Linked DNA regions of Rhinolophus ferrumequinum. The protein of the gene in region 3 interacts with the protein of the main gene of each other region in a biochemical or structural test. Links are inferred from orthologs where the notes say so. Each region holds a gene or a part of one and is shown on either strand. Other genes may lie near its edges.

Region 1 (8,292 bases), on a different chromosome or scaffold from region 3:
GGAGTCGAACCGGCAAACTCGTGGTTGAGAGGACATGCTTCAACCAACTGAGCGATTTGGGAGCTCAGCGGCAGCTCAGCTCAAGGTGCTGTGTTCAATCTTAGTTGCAGGGGGTGCTGCCAACAGTCCCTTGCGGGACTCAAGAAATTGAACTGGCAACCTTGTGGTTGAGAGCCCACTGGCCCATGTGGGAATCAAACCGGCAGCCTTAGGAGTTAGGAGCATGGAGCTCTAACCATCTGAGCCACCGGGCCGGCCCAAGGTGAGTGTTCTTGACTTAATAAAAAAAAAGTAAAGTGTGGCCAGTTAGCTCAGTTGGTTAGAGCGTGGTGCTATTAACACCAAGGTTGCCGGTTTGATCCCCACATGGGCCACTGTGAGCTGCGCACTCCCAGGAAGGAAGGAAGGAAAGAAAGAAGGAAGGGAGGGAGGGAGGGAAGGAGGAAAGAAAGAAAAAAAGAAAGGAAAAAAAAAGAAATCAGATGCTGAGGTTGCTAAGAGCTACGGTAAGAATGAATCTTCTGTTCATGAAATTGTGAGGAAGGAAACAGAAATTTCCTTCCTCAAACTGCAAACTATCTCATCTTAACAATATTAAGCCTTCCAATCCATGAACTCAGCATGTCTTTCCATTTATTTATGTCTTGTTTTATTTCTTTCAGCAACATATTTTAGTTTTCAGTGTACAAGTCTTTCACCTTCTTAGTTAAATCTATTCCTAAGAATTTTTTTCTTTTTGGTGCTATTATAATTGGAATTGTTTTCTTAATTTCCTTTTTGAATTGTTCTTTGCTAGTGTGTGAAATGCAACTGTTTTTATGTGTTATTTTACATGCTACAACTTTGTTGAATTTGCATATTATCATGTTTCCCCGAAAATAAGACCTAGCTGGACAATCAGCTCTAATACGTCTTTTGGAGCAAAAATTAATATAAGACCGCATCTTATTTTACTTTAATATAAGACCGGGTCATATAATATAAGACCCGGTCTTATATTAATTTTTGCTCCAAAAGACACATTAGAGCTGATTGTCCGGCTAGGTCTTATTTTGGGGGAAACGGGGTAGTTCTAACAGTTGCGTGTGCGTGTGTGTGTGTGTGTGTGTAGACTCTTTTAGCGTTTTCTACACATACAACTTCTACTGCTTTTCTACCTCTTCCTTTTCCATTTGGATGTCTTTTTTTTTTTTTCCTTTTTGGCTAATTATGCTATCTAGAACTTCCAATACTATGTTGTTGAATAGAAGTAATGAAAATAGGCATCCTTGTCTTTTTTCTGATCTGAAAAAAAATCTTTTTGCTTTTGAACCATGGGAATGTTTTCAACTCTTCAAACTAAATGCAAATATCCTTTTTCTCTAGTAGCCTTCCACTTCTCATACTAGAATTGGCCTCTGCATTCTCAGGCACTGCGTGGCCTTGTGTTTATAAGTACATCCTGCCTTGCTCTCTCTCCTGAAGTCCTTGAGGACAAGGTGATATCTTGGTCAGTGTGGGGACAGAGCCAGGAGTGCAGTTTCCAGGCTCTCAGCCTCACGTGGAAAGGTGCTGGCTCAGGTAGTAAATGGCCGTCAACTGTGATTGGATGGCCATCAGCTGTGGCTAGTTGGCTGTCAGCTGTAACCAGTGAGCCATTGGCCACTAATATAACTGCTATGGCCACGCTAGCAGCAAATGGGGACTAGCAAGCAGATGGTGGCTGAGCTAGCAGGAGCAGACTGCAGTTAGCATGGCGGATTACAGCTAGCAAGGAGGTAGGTTGGCAGAGAAGTGGACAGTGGGTTGCAGATCGTGTGGCTCCTGCTTCCTGTGTCTCCAACCCAGCTGCCAGTGAGACTATAGTGGTATGACTCCCCTATCTATGGCTCTGTGGGTGTTCCTTTTTGACCTCACCATGTCCTGCGTTCTTATGTGGGGAGCGGGACCAGAGACCCTGCATGACATCCTGCATGACACCCCGCATGACAGTCAGTTTTGAATCTCCCCCAACCACCGACTCAGGGCTGTCTCTGTGTTCTCAATATAGACTTGTTATCGAGTCTAGAGTTCTATTTGAAAGGAAGGACTCACAGCCCAGGACAAAATTTGAATTCCAAATTATCAAAATCCCAAGGACAGTGGAATTTAGAAATAGCGCATCTCTGATGTTGCAGCCACTCCCATGATACTTTCTCTTATTTTCATTTATTTATTTAACCCTTACTACAGACAGGTGCTGGAGATATAAGCCATGGTCTCTGCCCTCACGTGGCTAACAGGTATTTTATGGAGATAATTGATGGCAACCAAGTCAAGGCAGGTCCCTAATCGCACCTATTAAAAAGCACCAAGGCACCTGTGGTTGGTTACTCACACTCTCTCTGGGCCAAAGGCCAGACCGCAGCTGCCATGGCTCACCTCTGCCAAAAGGCCTGACTTCTTTGGGTGGAGCCTTATTGTAGTCTGAGCCTCCTGGTGACTTAGCGAGGTGAAAACCGGGATAAGGCGGGCTGTCCATTAGAATAAGGAAAATGCCTAGCCTGGGTTGTTTTACACGACTTTGTAAGCCCAGGAACTTTCAAATGAAGCGGATTCCAGGAAAGGATTACTTTTAAGTGCCTATGAGAAAGAAAGTCTTCCTTGAAGAGAAGAAGGAAAAAAGATGCTGTTGTAACACTAAGACAACCAAAAACAAAAAGCGAACCCATGTATGGTGTTTATTATGCCAAGCACGGCTCCAATCACTTCATATACATACATATGTAAATTCACTTAATTCTCACAACCCTCTGAGCTAGTTGCAGAAGAGCAATGATGGCTCCATAGAGGTAGAAGTTGAGAAATGAATCGGCGTGACCCCTTCACAGGGTACTATGTGACCATGTCCATGTGTGGTGTTAGGGACAGAAGGGGCCTCACGATTTCCGCAGGCAGGTCAAGAGAACTGGGGAGAACCTCAGCAATGTTCTTTTCAGAGTTTTTGTGGCCCTTTTCCAGGCCTGGCCTTACATCTACATAGGACTAGCTCCGGAGACACATTAAGCTAAGTTCCCTTCCTGAAGAAAACCTCTTCCTGGTCACTCTTTCCAGGCCTGTGAAGAGGAAAGGACCTCCTACCCCCAGGTGGTTAAGAGAAAGCTGGGCTCACAATAGAAACAGAGCACAATATGTCTTGTACTTTTTCTGAAAGGAAATCAAATCTATGATCCTAATTGACTGAAAGAAAATGTAGCATATGGTATAAGGGATGGAATTTAATGGTGACACATTGAAAATTTTGCAACAACTCCCAGAACTTGTCCATCCTTGTAAATTTATGTAGGTGATGGCTAATTATTGCATTTGACTCTGACACTGAACCTGCCAAGTAAGGGAAACAGGCATATTTTCCAGGTTGTGAAAGCTAATTTACTCACCCATGCTCTGTCTGATTCTGGAGTTGGGGCTCTTAACTGCCAAACACTCTGTTTATAAATTTCTTCCTCTGGATTAATCACCATTTTTCTTTCCAAGTGTTCAGTTGTCCCCTTTCTGTCTTCTCTCATGGGTTTCCCCATCAGCGTACTAAGAGCTTAGCATGCCCCGCCAAGCTCAGTTTGTAAGCCCCAGAGAACTCTGCTCATTCTTGGGGGAACCCTCCAAGAAGTCCAGATGTTGTGGGAGCCTTTTTTGGCAAGGGGCCATTGGCAACTGCAGGAATCCCACAAGAGACTCTGATTCTTAAAAGCTGCTCTCTATCAGCTCTGTTCGCTATTCACTTGACCCAGAAAACCCCACAAAGTCATGCAAATCAAGAGATTCAAATCTTCGTGTTCACTTTAAAAACACTCATGATACTGCACAAGCCATCAAGGGTATGCAGATCTAAAACGCCACCAAGTATGTGAAGAATGTCACTTTATAGAAGCAATGTGTGCAATTCCATCTTACAATAGTGGACTTGGGAGGTGTGCCCAGGCCAAACAGTGGGGATGGAGGAAAGATTGGCGGCCCAAAGAGTGATGAATTTTTGCTGCACACACCTACAAATGCAGAAAGAAACGCTGAACCTAAGGGTTTTGATGTAGACCCTCTGGTCATTGAGCACAGCCAGGTGAACAAAGCTCCCAAGATGCAGCGCAGAAGTTCGTGGGCAGGTTAACCCATAATGAGCTCTCCCTGCCACATTGAGCTGATCTTAACTGAAAAGGAGCAGATGGTTCCTAAACTAGAAGAGAAGCTTGCCCAGAAGAAAAAGATACCCCAGAAGAAACTGAAGGAACACAAACTTATGGCCCAGAAGTAAATTCAGCATCAAATAAATGCTAATAAATAATTTTAAAAATGTCCAGACTCCAGGTTATGGGTCAATTGATTTTAAAGACGTTTTTGCTCCTAATTCATGTAAGTGCCGGATCCCACCAAAAACCTGTTTTTGGCTGTACTTCTGTGAGGATTTTATTTAAATGCCTTATTGATTACCATTTATACTGTAACTTGGAAAAGCTATCTAAAAACTATATAGGACTGAACTCAGTTGAAATCTATATACAATTCCTAGAAAGGAAAAGGCAGTAGAGAAAGGAGGGGGGAAGTTTCCAACATTTTTAGTTTTTCCTTTTGAGGCAGAGGGGAGACTGCCGTTAGACAATTAGATGTTTTGGAAGGACAGACGGTTTCATCTTTGGGCACCAAAGAGAAAGGTAGCAATTAGAAGTTAAGGGATGCTTAAGGAGGCACTTTTAGAAGGCACATTTCCAGTTTGGGGAGGCACAGTTTTTCACGGGCTACCCACATTCGACAAAGCAAGGAGCCCGCCCTGGAGCGGCTTTGGAAAACAGTGGAATCCGTCAGGGCTTCACGGGTTAAGGGGCCTATGTCACATCAGCCGTTCGAAACTCCTCCTCTCACAACTCCTCCTCTCACAGCGAGGTGAAGATATTTGAAAATCACCCCACTGCAAACTCCTCCCCCCTACGAGAAACCTCTCATTGAAATGCTGCAAATGACTGGGGCCCCGCATGCAGTCGCCGCTGGGCTGCGCGAAGCCCGGGTTTCCAGCGGGGACACTGAGGACCGCGGACAGCGGATAACGGCCTGGGCCGGGGCGTTGCTGGAGGGGGCTGGGAGCATGAGGCTGTGCTGGTCCGTCGCCCTGCTCCTCGCCGCGGCGGGGGCTGCAGGTAAGGCTAGCTCCAGGCGCCCGCGCGGGGTCAAGGTGAGCTCCTCGAACTCCGAGAGCCCCGTGGTAATTTTTTTTTAAGGGAAAAACGAAAAATCACTCCATCCTTGGGAGACGTGGGGGGAAATGGTACGAAGTCCTTTCGAAACAGCTGAAGGGAGAGTAAGGGGCGCAAGGGTTTGGGGAATCTGGAGGAGTCAGGCGAAACGGGATGCGGATTTCCCCACAAGTCTCCGTGAAGGGGGGGGATCCCCTTGTCTCCCTCAGAGCAAGGCACGAGTACCTCCAGCCCTGGGGATGAGGGACCCCTTCCCCGAGTTATTTTTGGGACAAGGGTGACGCGAAGCCCCGCTGTTCAGCCTGGAGGTCCTGCAGATGCTCCTCCGCGCCCGCCCGCGGGCAGGAGTTACCGAGGCGGCCTAGTTGGCTTTGTGCTGCCCGAGGGCGCCACTGGCTCTCGTAGCAGAGCAGAACGCGTGGGCCCCGACCGCTGCACGCGCGCTTCTGCCGAAGGCCAACGCCTCCCACCCCGCCCCCCGCCCCGCCGGCCCGCCCCCGATCTCCCATTGGGCGCGATTCAAACAGGCGAGCCTCGAGCCTCTCCTCTTGACCAATGGGAGGCGGCTACTGCGGAGGCACGCTGCATGGGGCGGGGCTAGCTCGGGATTCGTGGGGCACCTCGTTCTGGGTGAGGCGGGCCGAGGAGATTCCTCGTGTGGGATCCCGGCTCCTGTCACAAAGGAGGCGACACGCCCCAGGCCCCTGGATCCGCCGCCGCAGAGCGCCTGGTTCTCTTTGCGGTTTCCTCCGCGATCTGTGGCGAGGGCTTCATCCCCACTTTGTTTTCAGGGCCTCCCTCCTTCGCCTGCCCGGGACTAGTCGCAGACGTGTCTTGGTTCCTTCTGAGGCTGAAATGCCGGTCCCTCCTCGGACCGGCACTTAGGGGAGGAGCAGGCACCGGGATCCAGCGATACCCGACGGACCCCTCAGGGTTGCCTAATTTGTCCAGAGACTCTAAAGAGGTTCAGTTGAGCTGTTCACATGGCAAATTTTCATTTTAGGGGATTTCAAATTTAGATTTGGGCAAGTGGCTAGTTGGTGCATGATCCTGAGTGGTTTTTAAAAAATGAGCGTCCAGAGGCGTTTGACCATGCCCTAGGTAATAGATAAACATGGGCCTTTTCCTATGTTGAACCAGCTCAGCCCATAAAAGGACTGGGATTGCCTGGTTAACGGGATTGCAGGAAGTTGTTTTTATGGGGGAAGGGGTTGGCTTTGAGTAGAGAGCTTTGAACTCGTGGAATGCCTACCTGTGACACATGGGTTTCTGCCGGGAAGGGAGAAACGGAGGGAGGTTGCCCTCACATAGCAGAGGACTGAGGTGATAATTTCACCACCAGTTGCGTGAAGTGGAGGGAGCGTGGCTTGGTCAAATGACACTTGATTAACCTGTAGTTCATACACCGATTGACTCCTTCCCTAGAAGGAAATAATGGCAATGAAGTCTTGAGCAAGATGTGATGGTTACTTTAGTTTTTTCTCTCACTGGGTGGCTGGGGATCTATCTCCTTTTCTCAAGGAAGCTCTGAGTCCTGATGTGTTCCCCAAACTCCTGAGAGCGGGCAGCTACTTCTCTCCTCCCGAGCAAACAAGATGCCCTACATTCGAAGCAACCCTGGCTGCCCCAGTTTGCTCCTTAGCTGTCTTCAAAGCATTTCCGGGGAGGAGGTGGGAGATTGTCCGTTTCCTTTGTGAGTGAAGTAGTTGGAATCTGAACTGCAGGCCTTCACTTAGCCAGATCAAAATCTTTTAACAGTTGTCCTACTGGAGCAAAGGTGCAATAACAGCCTCCATAAGGAGAAGGTATCTTAAGACTGACAAACAAAGCAGGCGACTCTATAGAATATAACAGAATTTATTATAGGGTAATTTACTTAAGGGAGGATTGCGTCGGAGTGGAAGAGAAGACCCAACGGTTTGGCACAAATTGTTCTCTGCTGAAGACTCCTGTTACTGAACCTTTTTTTTTAATAGTGTAACTTAGGTACTAATGACTGATAGATAAGACAAAGGGACAATGCAGTAGTGCCATACCTCCTGTGGTCCATATTATCCCAGTTTGATACTCATCTCAGTTGTCATCCTGGCCATTACTAACAAAAGTATTTATGGTTAAATTTTAAGGAACAATGGATACTCATTAACCAGAAGGCTTTGATATGCTTACGAAGGACAGTGAGGTTGGTTAAAAGTCACAGCATGAAGGGACACAAAGATGGAGATGGTTTTTTGTTCACATCTACATGTATACCACAGTTGTGAATAGAGTATCAAATATGCCAAGGGCATACCAAAACTCCAAGAGAAAGTAATGTCCTCCTAAGAGTTGTATCTGCTTTAGCAACTTCTTCCAGGCAAACTGGTAAAAGATAGGGAGAGCTTTTTGGAGACTGCAAACCTTTAAGGGGAATGATGTGCTTCATTCTTTCTTTCCAGGCTAGTCCAGCTCTTATCTGTAGGGTTCCTCCCCTGATAAGATCCAATTCTAGAGCCTTTGTTGCTCATGCTTTGATGGTCCCTTCACATTCTGATTAAGTACATTAATAACATCCACACTTCACCCAGTTGTCAAGCAAGTGACCATTTGTTGCTAAGAACTGCGGAAGTAACCAGCAGTGAACAGTGAAGTGACAGAGACAGGCTACTGCTCCCCAAAGTTGCTGGCAACAAAATCAACCTGGGGATAGAGATCACTCCTGGGGAAAATACCCTTGGCATCTGAGTTTGGAAAAGAATCCTGGTATATTGATTTCCCATTCATTTTCAGCTAACTCTGTTAGTTCCAGCCATTTATTTTTTTTCCAGGAAATGATTCTATCTATAATTTTGATTTCCCTTACCACAACTATCTTCAGTAGCACGGGACAGCTAACATCGAAAGCATTTGCTACCTCATTTGTGCACTGGAGAAAAAGCAGAACTGTGTATTCTCCTTTTCTGTTTCGATAACTTTGTTCCTGATTGGTCACTCCTAACAAGAGAGATCTAAGGGCTAGAGTTTAGAGACTTTTTTTGGAGTGCTTATGTAATTTTAGGCATCCTCAGCAGGAGGAGATATGGAGGTGTCTGCTCTGTTTTACTTTCGCTGA
Region 2 (7,878 bases), on a different chromosome or scaffold from region 3:
TATTTTTTCAGTTCATTTCAGTAAAAACATAATATAAAAGGCATTGCCACCCTCTTCCCCTCCTGGGGGTGATCCATCAAGCCTGTCAGTCTGGGCCGCTCCAATGGTTCATAGCTCATCATGCGATATGTGCAGGGCATGGTCACATAGATCTGCAAACAGCACATAACAGTTTGAAGGAAAATGCCACTCTCATACTGATATATGCCACTATCAAGAAAATACTCCAAATCAAACTGATACACATACCAACCACCGTTTTTCAGAGCATATGCTTTTAAATGACAAAATATTCCCATTATCCTCTCACCTGTGCCTCAGGTGAGGGAACCACAAATTCTGAAAGCCGACAGAGAATAGAGAGGGACAACCCAACTCCCTAAGCCATGGGTAATGGAAGATAACTCTTGAGCTAATATCAGAGGGCAGAGGGCTGGGGGGGGCGGGGGGGCACACTAAGGAATGTACCAGTTTCTACAGGACTGTGAGGATAGAAAGTGGGAGCAGCTTACCTGTTCGCTTACTACAGAGTTTGTCTTTGACATTGTCAGCCTCTCGGGAGAAGAATTCAATGAGTTCATCCTCATATTCTTCCACAATGCTCTCACACTGCCAACCCAAGGGAGAAACGAGTGAGAGAGGGCAGCACGAAGAGGCCTCTTGCTTCTGCCTCCAGAGAGGACAAGGGTATTAACCCAACTTTCCACTTGAGCTCTCCAATAACTCCCCTAATTTCTAAGAACCAGCTACCCACTTCCATAGCTCACCGCAAACTTGAGGGTGCCGCTGATGTCTGAATCAATTCGGATGCCCTGTAGGTCCAGTTCATTGGATTCTCCATTCCGGCTCACTACACGTACATAGTTCTTGCGGTGGGTGGAAGGATCAATCTGTTCCCCATACTCCTTCATCCGGTCACATACCTCCTCTAGTAGCTCTGTGAGGTGGGCCTCTGAGCGAGCATAAGGCACCTAGAAATGTCCTCAGCCTTGGGTCACACTCTTCTACCTCTGTACATTAGTAATTTATATCCTTTTCCTTCCAAATCTAGCTATTCTAAAAAGCTAAATGCTAAAAAGCCTGCTCTATTTAAAAACAGTATGGTTTATTTGTGTAATTTCAAAGTGCTTTCAAATATATGGTCTTATTTTACCTCAGTATACAAGCCTAAGAAATAAAACAGGTGTCATTAGGCCCAAATTATAAACAGAGACCTCTTTGATTAACCCTAGCCAGCTATGTATTCTTTTCCTTTGAATTCCCTTAATTCTTATGGGTGTAAGGTAATGATTTTATTTTTATTTTTTGTATTGAGACTAAAACATGCCCTCAACAAGAGAGGATTAGAAAGGTAGTGTAGGCTTGAGGAAAACAACTATTAAATCATTTCACAAGCATTACAACCTTAACATTTCTTTATTGTTCACTAAGCACAGCTTTGTTATATGTGTGTTCTGTTTTCAATTAAAATAAATTTCCTAAATACAAGGAAGAATAAGACCTTCTGTTTCTTTTTTGAATGTTTGTGTGTATACTGTATTGCCATAGTGAAAACATGAATCACATGGATTAAGGATGTGGAGAAGGGGTTCCCTGTCTGCTAACAACTTCTACAGCAGAAACAAAATATTAAGGTTTGGAACCAGGAAGTAAGTGCATAGGGTATAAGCCTTCAGCCTTTTCCACATGAGACAGCCGTATCTTTTAGATACCTCTCTGGGTCAATGTTTTCTTCATTTCTATTAAACCAAGCTCCTTCTTAATTAGTTGAGTTCTCATTCAAAGTCAGAGTGATCTACTTTATTTGGGGGAACAGTAAGTTACCTCCACCACTGACTGGCTGCCATCTGGATTGATTCGGAAAGAGCCCATCTGAATGGTCTTCTTGGGATCCACCTGGGCAATTTCCCACTCTAGTTCATCCACCAGAGCCCTGCAAGCTGGTGCAGGGGGAGAGAAGATGGAGGAGGAGAAAGGGGGAGAAAGGAATCAACACAGGGATTTCCACTCATTCTTATCCAGACTTTGGATATCATGTCCTCCCAAAGCCCTGTCTTCCCCACCCTCCTTCCTCCCACTTCTCTTTGTGTCTTTACCTCCACAGTGTAGATCCTGGCTCCTCCGAGCCCAGGCAGTTCCCAGCAGGGCCCCCAGAAGCAGGGCCAGCCAACCCCAGCCTTTCATCTTAAACGTAATGGGGTTGCTCCACCTGGGTTTGGATTGGAATAAGGCGTAAGTATGAGGAGCCAGCTCCATTCCCCCAACTTATCCCTCATCCCCATGCCTACAGAGGCCTCAGTGTGACTCTGGTTTTACTTTCCAGGAAATGGCCGGGACACAAAGGGGCTCCTCTGTTCTGGTGCTTGAGGACCCGGATTACCCCGGGCGGTGAGGGAGAGCGCGAGCTCAGGATTTAGGACTCAGCCCCCAGACACTACGTCGACAGGTGAGGCCCTAGCTGTTGGTACTTCAGCGTCGGCCGCCTAGAGCTCACGGGGCTATGTGGCAGCTACAAAACGGAGGCTGGCGATTAAGCGAGGACGAAAGGCACAGAGGAGCTACCAGCAAGGAGGCCAGGAGTCAGTGAGGTGGCTGGCCCGCGAAGAGTACGCTCAATAAGTAGGGCCTATTTGGACCCAGCATTGGAGATTACTGCGTCCCCACCTCCAGCCTATAACCTATTTCCCGTGCGGACCAGCCCCCTTTCTAAGGACCCCTCCATTGCCTGCGCTCCAGTCCATCCCCGACCCTCAGCGCCACTCGCATCCGTCCCACCTCTGCTCCCAGGGCCGCCGCCTTGGCCCAGGCGCTGGAAGACGGTCGTACTCTCACTTCAGCTCTGGACCTAGCACCTGGCTAGGGGGGAGCGGGGCTGTCCGGGCTTCTCCAGAGCAGTCCAGAGCTTTTCAGACACGGGGTGGCCCGGCGACCGCCTGACCCAGATCCTCGCACCCTAAGTGGGCGCCTAAACCCGGCTCCGATGCTCTGCGGTGCAAGCCCCACACCAGGGATCGACCCCAAACCCGCTCCTCTAAAGTCTCGCGCGGACAGGCAGCATCCGAGCGGCTCCTAGGCAGCGAGGACCCCAATGGATCGCAGAAGGACCCAGACTTGCGTGGCTTGCAGGTCCACGTGACCACCAGGGGGTCAGCCGAAGAATAGGAGTGGCTTGAAGGAAGGACAGATCCTGGCGTGGTGTATGGAGGTGGTCAGGCGAGCGTGTGTGGTCGGTGTAGGTGGGCTAGGTAGGACCTTCAGAAAGAAAGCGCTGCTAGCCAGTAAAAAGCCCTAGTTTCAGTACCTAGGAAACTACATCTCCCAAGAAGCACCGCAGCACCACATACTTTGTGAGTAGCTACAGGTCTCAAGATATCCTGGGACCTGTAGTTTGTCACCTTCCCCACGCCTCTTTTACAGTTAACGGGGAAACCATACTGTACATCTTACATCTTAAAAAGAATCTGACTTGGGGGCGGCCGGGTGGCTCAGGTGGTTGGAGCGCTGTATTCCTAACACCCCCGTTTGCCAGTTGGATTCCTACATGGGCCAGTGAGCTACGTCCTCCACCAAGGGCTTGACTCAAGAGTTGGTGAGGGAAGGGAGAAAAAAAAAAACTGCCTGAGGATACTAGCAGGCACAGCAAAGACCTAACATTGCCCAGGAAAGACATAATTATACTTCCCCAATATCCTTAACTTTGGACTCCACAAAGCTTTACCTTCGTTTCTGGGTGGGAATTTAAAAACCCTTAGGTTTTTCCCAGTTGTGATAGAAAACCAACAAAAAGGAGAGGAGGACTGAAGTCTGAGAACCCCACACTCGCAGGTCTCTAATAAGATAGATGACAGCCAATATTATTTTTGTTTTATTTTATAAAACATGCAGTTTAAAACAAAATTTTAAAAAATAACAAGAAAACAAAACTTGGGACAGGAGAGTGGAGTGGATGGAAGACAGATGCTTCTCAGCTGTCAGCAGGAGTGAAGCCAGCAGCCAAGCTTTGTCTAGGACCCAATGGCCCTTTTGGCAATGATGGTGTTGGCAATACTGGTTTGCTAGGGCCACCAAGAATACACACTAGCTCCTCTGGCATTCCTCAAGCAATCAGAGACGAGCTAAGTCTTGAGCTGCTGCTGTATCTAGTCACAGTCCAGTACTTCAGTCCTTAGCCAACTAGGAACGGGGAGTTTTGGTTCCAGGATCTTCTTTGCCTGGATATTAATCACTCAGGATATTTATTAAGAATACCAATCAATTTTCCATCTGGGTCAATTCTAGACTTTTTCTGGCCCACTGTTTTACAAAGGATGAAAAAATAATCTGGCTCCTAGACCCTTTGCAACAATTCTGCTGCATTCCAGTTCTATTAATAGCACCATCTATAAACCCTGAGCAGGTCCAATTCTGGAAGTGGACAGGGTATGGCCAACTTGGGAAGCCATCTCCCAGTTCTGGGACCACAGAACACTGAAGGGAGAGGCAGTAGTTCTTTGGGAGAGGGTGAGGTCAGAGTGCCAGCACTGAGGAAAAAACGGCTGCATCTGTCAGAGACAAAAGCAAGAGCATTGACTCGTAAGATGAGTGGAAAAAAAGTACCTGGGATACTTCTTATGAAGGAAAAATGCAAGAGGAAAGAGCATGGACCTGCCCCAAACATTTTAGAATTGGGCAAGAGGATGTTAGGACTAGTAGTTTGATAACAAAATCTATTTCACTGATTGTTGGGAGGATTAAGTGCTCTGGAAACTGTTGCGTGCTTTACAAATGTAAGGTAAGAGTGGTACTGTTCTCATCATTATGGTGGGTATAATCTTCACATATGCAATCAAAACCCACCCAGTCCAGTTTCCCTTGTCCCATCCCAAGCCTTACTCTTGGGACTTGTCTGGCCTTCAGGCTCAGGCACCTTCCAGTCCATCTTTCGGCCCTTCTCGTAAAGACCCTTGAGCACTTTGTGGAAGGACTCAGGTTCAGTGCCATTTTTGCTTAGCTCCAGATACTTTCGGTATAGCTGAAGGGCTGTGCGGGCATCCTCAATACTGTCATGGGTCTCCCCTTGAATCTTCAGGTCTGGGGGAAGCAGAGGTGGAATAGTTTGGGACCTAGCAAAGGAAGGTAAAACATGTCCCCTACTCACATCCCCAGCCCCGGATAAACAACAACAAAAATATGACTGCCCTTAAGGAAATAGCCAAACACCACTCCTGGTGCACAGAAGGGATATTGAAGCTAATTAAATCCATTAGTATCTCTCACCACTACTCCCCTTGGCCCCTCCAACACTTCTGCCTGCTCTTAATGAGCACAAGGGCCTTCAAAGGCAGAGCAACTCACCCAGAAAGTACCAAGCAAGGAATCGCAGGGAAATCATTCGTTTTCGGGGCATGTGAAACAGATAGACAGTGTCAAGGACTTGGTCCTTGGGCACCTGGCAGGGATAAAAGAATGGGAGGCTGAAGGTAGGAGAGCCATAATTTCCCATTCTCCAAAAGCATAATGTATACCCTGAGGGGCCCACACTCAAAAAAAGACTCTTAAAAGAGCCCTGCCCGAACCATGAGGTTGATGACCCGGAAGTCCTTCTGCAAACCATGACCCACAAACTTGACTCCAATATCTATGAGAAAACGAAGCTTTAAGTAGGTAGACTTGAGAGTTGTGAGGTGCTTAGAGGAAATCTTGGCATCAAGGTCTCCTGGCTTTATCCCTGAGTATTGAGTCAAGTAATCCACCACCTAGGGATAAAGAAAACAGCAAGTCTCCAAGGAAGCAAGGTGCCAAGTCCCCCCTACTCCTCTTCCCTGGGTTCTCTAGCACTCTACATAAGCACAGGGTCTGTCTCACTTGCACCTGCCTATTCTAATACCTGCTCCTGGGTGGAGATGTAGTCATCAATGAACGGAATACCCTCATTCGGTCCCTGGCCCCGAACACAGGTAATCCGCGCTACTGACATCTGGCTTGGTTTGATGGTAGACTTGGTGCCATCACTGCGCAACTCTGCTTCCTCCTACATGAGAAGAGTTAATAAGGAAGTCAGAGAAATGCTTCTGACTCCTAATAGCCCCAGAATTCTGTCCCAAAATCCACTTTTGGCCTTGGTTACCTCATTAAGGGTGACAAACTCAGCATCCAGGCCCACCAGGTCCCCAACCTGTGGCATCTCATTCAGCATCAGCGGAATAAAGGTAGTATGTGTTTTCCGCTGCTTCCGTGCCAGTGAGGCTTCAGCCAGCAGGACACTTGCCTCAATAGGGTTCTTGACTAGAAGGGAGAATCCGGAAGACAGATGGCTGGGGACAGGGAAGTGACCAGGGGAGGGAAGCCCAGGGTGGCTGACCAGAAACCAGGTCTACACTGTGATCCCTCAATAATCAAAGCATGTGAATAAAAAGATCATGTTTGATGAACAGAGCAGGTAGATGGAACACGTGAAATTATCAAGAAATATACTAAGGAAAAAAGTCAACAAAAGGAAAGAATAAGATATTTACTTTGGACTTTAGCTTAGAAAACCTAGAAAAATGAAGTTACAGAGAAACTATGGTTTAAAGTCACCAAAAAGGGACTTAATAAGGAGTTCACCTCCAAAAGAAGAAATCTTGGGGATAAGAATGATAAGACTCAAAATCATAACTTTAGCCATTTTTATCAGACTTTTCCCCCATAACCTCTTTCCCACTATACCCTCCGGATCTCCAGCTTCTAAATTTAAGGCCTTATAAGAAGGAATCTCTGTAATATCCTGGAACTATTAACACTGGTTACAAATCCTAATCTCAACAAGCTATTTCCCAGGTCTCTTTCTGAAGACCAATCTAAATTGCCCACACCATGGGTCCACTCTGTACCACTTACTGTTCAGATTATATTTGGAATTAAGATTCCTTTTGATGTAATAAAGGATGGCAGGCACTTTCCAATTCATATCAAACTGCACAGCTTCATGCTATAAAAGAAAAAGCACTGAATGGCCCCCTTTTCCTTTTTCCCATGTCAGACAAAAGACAGGACTAGGTACCATTTTTATTCTTGAAAACCCATCCCTCCTCCCTCCTGAATCTGCCTGGCATTGTCTAGGGCACCGAGGATGAGGATGCTAGGAAAAAGGGAGATGAAAGGGGGAATGCAATGTGTTATAACTAACCTTATCGATAGGTTCAATGAGAAAGTCATTGAAGAGATACCACTGCTGGTGGGTAACGCCCTATGGAGATACAGAGAAAGGCTGATGCCAAAGTGATGGCTGGAATCACTCTGGCTCAGACTGAAGATAAGGACAGACCTGGGATTCCATTGTGGCCACCACCAGGAGTGTCCCTGCCCTGTATTACCTCACTCACCTCCTTGCGTTGGTGGTAGGTCTCTCCAACTTTGATGTGAGCCACCAGGCTGCCCCCTGTGCGTGAGTCCAGGATGTGTACCACAGTAGCCATCAGGTCATACACATAGACACCATGCTCCTCCTCTGCCCTGGCTGGGCCCCACTGTGAGGGGGGTACCCAGGCTGCTAAGCTAAGTTTAAGGATGGGGAAGGAAGGGGAATGGGGATAGAGGACAGGGAGTCTGGGGTATGTGATGGGGGACCAGGGTGGGTTATCTCCATTCTAGCCCATCTGTGACTCCCAATAATGAACTGAGTCACTCTGGAAAAGCCCACGACTGGTAAATATTCAGCCGGATTCCCTTTTCCCTATACTAGGTTCCACCTTCCCCCTGCCCTGCCTCTGCCCCATCTTCCTCTCCCTTATTCCCCCTCCTCTTCCCAGTTTTCCAACGACCTGCATCTCATCCCCATCAGTCCAATTGCAAACATCCAGTCCTTTGTTCTTGGTCATCTTCATGCGAATGGAGAAAGGAAGCCAGACATTCTTCAAC
Region 3 (7,869 bases):
CAATGCTATATAAATTTTAGGTGACATTTTCTTAGAATTCTGTATTTCAGACAACGGTACAAAAAACAAGTAAAATGCTCCAACATTTTAAAAGCAAGTCAAAAGCTTAGATCACACTAATTTTTCAATAAGATTTCAAAAGGATCTAAAATCAATTAAAATTACCTAGTCTAACTAGATATGTGTATTCTTTGAGCGCTATTAGGTATGAATCTCAAGAGTCAAAGCCAATTGAGTCAATAAAGTAGGAAATTTGATTCCAATTCTAATTCATAGAATGTCTCTATTTCTTGCATGAATAAAATGGATTTGATAATAGTTATTAACTCAATTACAAGAAAGTACAAGACCGTCTAGTAGTAAATTTTAAAGTCTGTAAGCATTCATTATACAAATGTATTATATAATTATAACTGTAGCCATTGTTTAAAAGATGTATTTGCTCTTCGAAGCTTCTACAGATTTAAAAAATATATTTGTGTCATCAAAATAGATTTGCATCTGGAGGCCCTGAAATGACTGAAAATCATTATAAAAGTACACAATGAAAATTCCAATATATTGTGATATATATATATATTATATTCTTACTTGACTGCCAGTTATCACACAGAAATGCAAAGTGGAACCTTTCACAAATCAGCTTTCAATAAAAAAAAGAAAACCCTCAACCCATTCTGATTAATACACAGCTAAAACATCGTTAAACATGTAATCACTTGAATATTTTGCAAGACATTTTCAAGAGCACTAAGAATTTAATATACCAGTTCCTTCAGAAACAAAACTGAACATTTCCCTCACTCTTTAAAGCTCTATAATGAGACAAAGCAGAGATTTCAAATTCAAATAAACAGTATTTCAAAATATGTTTCTATCAGTCTTTAGGTAAACAAACAAAAAATGTCATGTTAAAACTCTTAAAGGTATTGTTTACTCATCATTACTCAAATTTTCACATTCACATTTTTATGTACAAGAAAATTTCCAAGCCAAACAATTATGGAAAACATTAGAATTTAGAGCTAAAGTTTGCTGTATTTAGAATTAGTTGTTTTTCTTAATTTTTTTTTTTAACATGCCACTGTAAGATTTAGGTCTCTTGCATTTCAGCAATAAATGTTCAACACTGCTTTCCTAGTTTTCTCATCCTTTAGAAAAGTATTCCAGTCAGCCCAGAGAAGAAAATGTTTTCGGTTTGCAAGAGAAAAACACCTTCTCTGGTTTTCTACCACTACTGGTGGTGTTCTAAAGCGATAAATTTAACAATCTAAATGCAACAATAATATATAACATATCTGTGGGATGGAGTTTGGTTATACTGTTCTTAAAAGAGTTCTCTAAGTTTTCCAGAAACTTAAAAACTTTTAAAATTCTGCATTAAGTCGGACAGAGCTCTTTGCTACACATTGTAATCTGACACTAGCCTGAAGAAGTTGACCAAGTTTAAGAAGGGTTTCCTGCTTTCTGTTAGAACAGTCTATAGTGACCTATAGTAACACTGCTGAGAGGCAGGGGTTACTCTGGGGCATTAGCTGCTGCTATCAGGAAGTCAGTGGGTCTTTTCCTTCCTTCCTTCCTTCCTTCTTTCCTTCCTTTCTTCCTCTCCTCCCACTGCCCCCCCACCCAGCCCCGCATCTGCCATTGTGTTTGTAAGAATTCAACCCTGCTCTCCCATTGTCTATAAAGACAAGAAAAACCACAAGAAGAGTTGGAAAATGTACCCCATGTCAACTATATAGGTCCCTGTTCACTTTGATATAAGGGCTGCGCCATGGAAAACTTCGAAGTGATGAACCAACTCACTCTTCTGTATCAAAACAAATTTGCCTTTGTTTTGCCTAAACATCTCTGGGAAGGTGCAATGACCCTTTCTAAATGGAACCAAAGGCCTATTTGACATTGGTTTATTTAAGCATCACTTTACCTAGTCTGCTCCTGTAAGATGAGATGAGGCTCCACGAAGAACTTGACTCTCAGTTTAAGCCGGTAAGGGGCTAGCCCATCCATCTGCTGGGAGATCCGGTTTCTCAGATTTAGCCATAAACTTTCACCTTTGCTACCCGTAAACTGCAGTCCAAAATAATCAACTTCTATAATTCCCAATCGCCTGCACACCTGAAACAAAAATGAATGCAGCATGGATGAGCAAATGGTCCATGTGGTCAAAGTAAACCCAAGGACTCCACTGGCTCTAAGATTTCTGCCTACTCTTTACAAAGTTCAACAACAGTGTTACAATTTCTGTTGTAAACTGGAAGAACAAAGATCTAGTGATGCTAAACTACTAGGTGAAGCATAGAAATGTCCTTTAATACTCAGGACACGGCCAATGGCAGTAGAGAAAAAGGAGTCCTCAAAAGCAGCCTTCCAGAAAGGCTGAGGAGGGCAATCTCAGGGAATTTTCCTCCTTATTCTAATCACCAAAATTCCCTCCGTCAACACAAACGACACAGTTGATTTGGCAGCTTAGTATCTGGACAATTTTAACCATCTGCACTACCAAAAAACAAACACATTGAGGAAACACGCCACAAGTGTCAGCTAAGCTTTGAAAGGGTTTTCCAAACATCTCAGGTCTAGGGGGTTTGAGAGCACAGCGTTTCACTTGAGATCAAATCTGCTGTCTGCCCTACCAATATGCAGTTTGGAACCGTTCTTCGCTCTTAAAGAAACGCGTGCTTAAAGACAAGCGAGGAGTAGATGCCAAAACGGTACTCTCGTCCTCGCAAACCCGAAGATGCAGGTGAATGGTCCATTTGAGCAGCAGCAAGAGACACGGGCCCGGCTTGTCTGCCAAACAACCTGAGAGACCTGTGACCGCTTCCAGCCACCTCATCCCGGGACGCAGGTGTCGCTGGCAGGCCCCGCGGGGACCCGACCGGCGGCTTCATGCACACACCTGCGGCAGATGTTCTGGTCCGCCTTCTTCCGGGAAAGTGCCGAGCTGGGGCGGGGGGATCGGGGGACAGGGTGGCCGGCCACCGCGCGCGTACTCTGCGGTTTCCCACGCGCTCCCGGCTGGGAGGCCATGTGCCCCAAGCCGGTGGAGTAGGGGGCGCGGGCCGGGCGCCTGGGACGCGACCCCACCCCCCCACCCCACCTCCGCCCCCACCGCAGCGCCGCCCGGCCCCTGGCAAGCGGTGCGTCCCAGGTGCACTGCGCCGCCGCGAGGCCCCTCGGCCTAGGGTCCCCGCCTGACCCCTCGTCCTCACCTGGTTGAGGCAGTCCTCGCCGTTGGCTTTCGCCTCCACTTCCACCTCCATCAGCACCGCGTCCGGCCTCGTCACATAGCACAGCATGGCTGGGGCCGCGGCTGCCGCCACAGCCGCCTCCTCTTTGGTGTGAGCGGGGCTGCCGCCTCCCCACCAATCAGACCCAGCCCGGGTCTCAGTAAGGCTGGTCCTCGGGACGCTGCCGCCTTGCAGACCCTTGTCCTGCGCCCCGCGGCCGCCGCGCCCTCCTGCCACCCCCTTGCCAGCCCGCTAGCCCACCGGCTCTCAGAGTCTCCACCGCGGCGCCGCACTCCAGCAGCCAGACTGCCTGCGCCGCGACAGAGACTCCTCTGATATAGTGGCTCCGCCCCCTCCGGCTGGGGTCCCCGCCAATCACAGCGGTTCTGCCCCGCCTCCGCTGCCCCGCCGGCTAATAGAGGCGCGGGATCGGCCGCGGCCCCACCTCCCAGCGCCGTCTGCTTTCCGGGGCTGCCTGGGGAGGTGGCAGCTTGCGGGCGCCGAGTACTGCGGGAGGAGGGAGGCCGGGAACACACCCGCTGCCTCTGCCCGCTGGGCGACGCTACTCCGAGCGAGCGACCGCCACGGGCTCTGAAGCAGAGTCGCCTCTCTGTCGGGCTTGAATTTACAGTGATGAAACGCCCTGGCTCACTCCGAAATGTATTTCGGGAGGTGAAAGCGAAAAGGAAAGGGAGCAACCCAAAATCCTGAGGACAACTATTTTTTCCTGGGGTTTGCTACCGTGGGTTGTCCAAAGGCCGAATGGTTGTTCCTCATTTCAGACCTAGTCACGGAAAACTCGCATCTGAGTATAAAAGTTTTGGCAGTTGACCAATAAGTCAGGGAGCTTGATCTAGTGCTTCTGTATGAATCCTCTCCAGAGGCTTCTAGTTACCTGTTCTGTTGAATCAAAACACCTTATAAGGTACTAAGGCCCTCTCTCAGGTTGCCCATCCTATCGCATGTCTTATCTCATTCACTCATTAAACATTAATTGAGCATCTGCTGTGCTGCCGATCCCTTCTCTCAGGCAACCAAATGTTCTCCCCGTCTTAAAGGTAAGGGACTCATCTCAGAACCTAACAGGTGGTATAACCTCAGTAGTAGCTATTAATTATTCAAGGTCTACAACTCTTCATTCATTTACTACTTGTTCCTCTCTGCCAACACATCATTCAGCCTAGTTTTTTGGTTTCTTTATAGGAGAAGAGAGCAGATGTTGGTTTTGGCCTTGAACCCTTGGAAAACTTAATTCATCTCTCTGAAGCTCGGGGTTCTCAACAGTGAAATGGAGATATCTGCTCTGCCTGCTTCCCCTCCCCACCCAGCATTACTGTGAAGAACAGCAGAGATAATGTTCCTAAAAGCATTTGAATGACCCTGTATATGTGTAATGTCAGTTCTGTCATTGCCTGCCAATGACTTCTGTCCTTACTCTTTTGCCTGAGTCCCAGTTATCTCTGTCCCAGCAATCTTTTGGTTCTGAAGAAGTAGGAAGGATGTCAGAGCAGAATGCTACAGGGAAGGATACTACCACAGTCTTTCACCAAAGCCAACTATGGGGAAAACTGTAAATAGTCAAAAGTCCTGACCTCCAGGGCTGCAGATGGCCATGTGCCCCTGAACATGTGTCTTTTGGATACACCTCGCGATACTATGTTGCTGAAATAGACCCATCTTGTTTCCCATTCCTTTAATTCCAGTTTATTTATCTGGAAAATTGGTCTGGAAGACAACATTTGGATGACTGTTATCTAATCTATGCTTAATCACTAGAAATTTTAGACCTAGGGAGAAGAGGTGAGGGGCAAGATGGAAGCAAGGTGCATTGGTTAATATTTTTGTTTACTGAGAGACTAAGCTGGCCAAATCAAAGTCAGCTAACCAAAAGTTGGCTAACTTCAGCAAAAAGGAATTTAGCACACAATTTTGGGGAGCTTATAGAATCAGTGAGGACTAGGCATGAAAATAAATAGAAAGGGAGAAATATTGGTTGGCCAAGAGCAAAAATAAACAAACGAAAATAAAATAAGCAAAAATTAAATACTCATTTTGTAGAGAAACAACTTTAAAAATAAATTATGTTTTTGATTTTGGCAGGCATATTTCTAATCCAAGACCAGATTATGCTCCTGTTATGAGATGGTTGGTAAAAAAAAAAATCCAGTTGTTTTAGAAATTAAAAATTATCAGATAAGACTGAAGAGGAGAAGGATTTCTTAACACAAAACAAAAAAAAGCAGGAAAGCCAAAAACAGGAAAAACATGGCATTTGGGAGGGGGGAGAGATCCTGATAACTGAGGAAAAAAGAATACTGGCTGCTATTAGCATACACAGGAAATACAAGACCAATCTCTCTCTCTCTCTCTCTCTCTCTCTCTCTCTCTCTCTCTCTACCTCTCTTCTCCCTCCCTCTCTCTTCCCTCCCTCTCTCTTCCCTACCCCTCTCCCTCCCTCCCTCCCTCTCCCTCTTCTCGGTCCTCATTTCCTCCCTGAGTAGAGCTAGGTTAGTTGGGGTAAGGAACAGTATGCTCAAAGACCTGGTTAGGGACTAGAAAGTCCACAGCAGAATTTCTTCCTAGAGGATCCCACCATCTGGTCCTGCTACTAAAGGTCTAGAGCCAGTTTCAAAAGCCCCAGCTGGGCCTAACTCCAAAATAAGAGACTCTGACACCCTGGCCTGGGGGTGGTAACTGTATTGGATCAAGCTGTGACTCAAGCAGTTCTGAATTAGCCAAGGAGGTGCTACATTTTATCTGTCTTCTTTCCTTTGCTCTCAAATAGCTATCACCTTTTAAAGACAGCATTAAAATAAACCAGGGAAGTACAAGGATCAGCTGCATGAAGGGAGATTTTTTTAAAATAGAAATCATAACTAAGTGGTAGAGTCAGCTAAGCCAGTGGGGTCCTGGCTGTTCAAAATCACCCAAGCAGCACAGTTATTCTGTTTCATAGACTAGGGCTAAAGACTGAGCATAAGCTAACATTTGCAGAACGTGATGTGATGGCTGTCTGGCTAAGGAATTTTTCTTCCTGTTGAGCACTAGGTCTGATCTGGCTGGCTGGATACCTATCCTTGTTCATTCCTCTCCCAACGCTGCACACACCCCTGCAGAAACCCTGTTCTGGGTCAAAGGAAAGGCGCTTCTCTTTAGCTCTCAATGTTCATTTGTAGAAGCATGAAAGGAAGAACACTTAGAGACTGCCTAAAAAACTGTCCGTTTGCTTTCACACGTGATTCAAGCTAATTATTCACATAAGCAATATTTAATTTTGCACAAGTGTGTTAGAATTGTCGAATGAGCTGAAATCTCTCATTTGAAATTCTGGAGTAGGTTAATTAACCGTGGCCTACCATCAAAGCAGAGTTGTCGCTTCCAAAACTGGCTGTTTGAAGAGTGAATGAAGGGATGGAGGAAGAAGAGGTAAAGCCCATATTACAAACTTTGGAACATACCAAACAGCATCGTCTTAGTTAGTGAACAATCGCAATGATTTTTTTCTATTTGTGAGGGTAGTTCACGTTCATGGTAGACTACTTGGAAAAGGCTAAAAAGTACAAGGGAAAAAAATGCTCCTGTAACTTTATCAGGCATTTCTAGTTCATATTGATGTTTCACTTTGGTACTTTGTATGCAATGTGCTCTAAATTTTGATTGTGATAAAAACAAATACAGCACATAAATTTCTGGAGACATATCAGGAGAGCAAGAAACACAGGGGGTGTGCAGTTCCAAATCCATACCTAGTGTTATGACTATCAGGAAAATTATAAACAGAAAGAACAATCATTACGAAAAAAAATTAGTATTGTTTCTGAGCTGTTTTCTTTTCTAAAATACATACAAGCCTTTCCTCTATTTGTTTTTCTTCTCACTACTCATACCCTGAAACGTCAGATTTTTGTGATATGCTTACTTTGGCATGCATCATTTAGTGGAGAGACGCTCAGAGCTGGGAAATCATTTCCAACTTGGCACATTTTGTTTAACAACAAAAATATTTTGCTTAATATTTTGATACCTGTTATTTTAATTGTGAAGATGATCAATAATAATTTGGCCTGTGTTGTTACAGGTGCTCCTCAAGTCTGGGGATATGCAGATACTGATCCACCTCCAATAGGGTTCACTATCACGCTGATCTTGAATGAGATTCGGTGGGTGATGGGTATGCAATTGGGAGCCATGGAACAGAGGACAGACCCAATCTGCCTGAGGCTCAAACTCACAAACCTGTCCTACCTGGAAGGTGTTCTAATCAGTTGATCTGTAATAACACCTCTCCCCTTCCCTCACTGTGTCTGAGCATGCCTTTCTGTAAAGGAAAGTGGGGCCAACATGACATATTTTGTGGATGGGTGTGACACAGAACTCACTGGGGATGGCCACTTCCCAAATCAGTGGGACATTAGGGAGGACCAACTTCCCAAAGAAAAAATGAACAATGATTAGAAATGCTATAGAAATACCAAAAGTACATGAAATCAGCTACGTATGTTGGACAAACCACAAGATTTGAATAAACAAGATAGAACAAGATAAAACTATGAATGCTTTGGCATGAGGCAACTTCTCACTAAACTTCAATTACACCATCTCTGCCCAGCTCATTTATTGTTGCTGACATTTGTAG

Evidence for each region.
Region 1: of the proteins of MYLIP (region 3) and LDLR, one has a biochemical effect on the other in vitro, tested with the Homo sapiens proteins (4 studies listed by BioGRID, with this or other methods). The link is inferred for Rhinolophus ferrumequinum from reciprocal best matches to the Homo sapiens genes MYLIP and LDLR.
Region 2: the proteins of MYLIP (region 3) and CNPY2 form a complex in vitro, tested with the Homo sapiens proteins (2 studies listed by BioGRID). The link is inferred for Rhinolophus ferrumequinum from reciprocal best matches to the Homo sapiens genes MYLIP and CNPY2.

Annotation. Positions count from the first base shown.
Region 1 is NC_046301.1:39,348,572-39,356,863, reverse strand, and holds the start of LDLR (low-density lipoprotein receptor), read left to right. Parts: upstream 1-4,934; 5' UTR 4,935-4,957; coding exon 4,958-5,144; intron 5,145-8,292.
Region 2 is NC_046293.1:55,632,995-55,640,872, forward strand, and holds the start of CNPY2 (protein canopy homolog 2), read right to left. Parts: upstream 3,275-7,878; 5' UTR 2,776-3,274; intron 2,210-2,775; 5' UTR 2,185-2,209; coding exon 2,097-2,184; intron 1,941-2,096; coding exon 1,825-1,940; intron 972-1,824; coding exon 768-971; intron 610-767; coding exon 513-609; intron 153-512; coding exon 109-152; 3' UTR 1-108. Other genes in the region: PAN2-PAN3 deadenylation complex catalytic subunit PAN2, read right to left, coding at 4,507-4,541, 4,873-5,070, 5,335-5,428, 5,556-5,735, 5,867-6,010, 6,107-6,264, 6,859-6,949, 7,148-7,207 and 2 more. UniProt on the Homo sapiens protein: Positive regulator of neurite outgrowth by stabilizing myosin regulatory light chain (MRLC). It prevents MIR-mediated MRLC ubiquitination and its subsequent proteasomal degradation.
Region 3 is NC_046292.1:78,574,559-78,582,427, forward strand, and holds the start of MYLIP (E3 ubiquitin-protein ligase MYLIP), read right to left. Parts: upstream 3,542-7,869; 5' UTR 3,303-3,541; coding exon 3,216-3,302; intron 2,119-3,215; coding exon 1,928-2,118; intron 1-1,927. UniProt on the Homo sapiens protein: E3 ubiquitin-protein ligase that mediates ubiquitination and subsequent proteasomal degradation of myosin regulatory light chain (MRLC), LDLR, VLDLR and LRP8. Activity depends on E2 enzymes of the UBE2D family.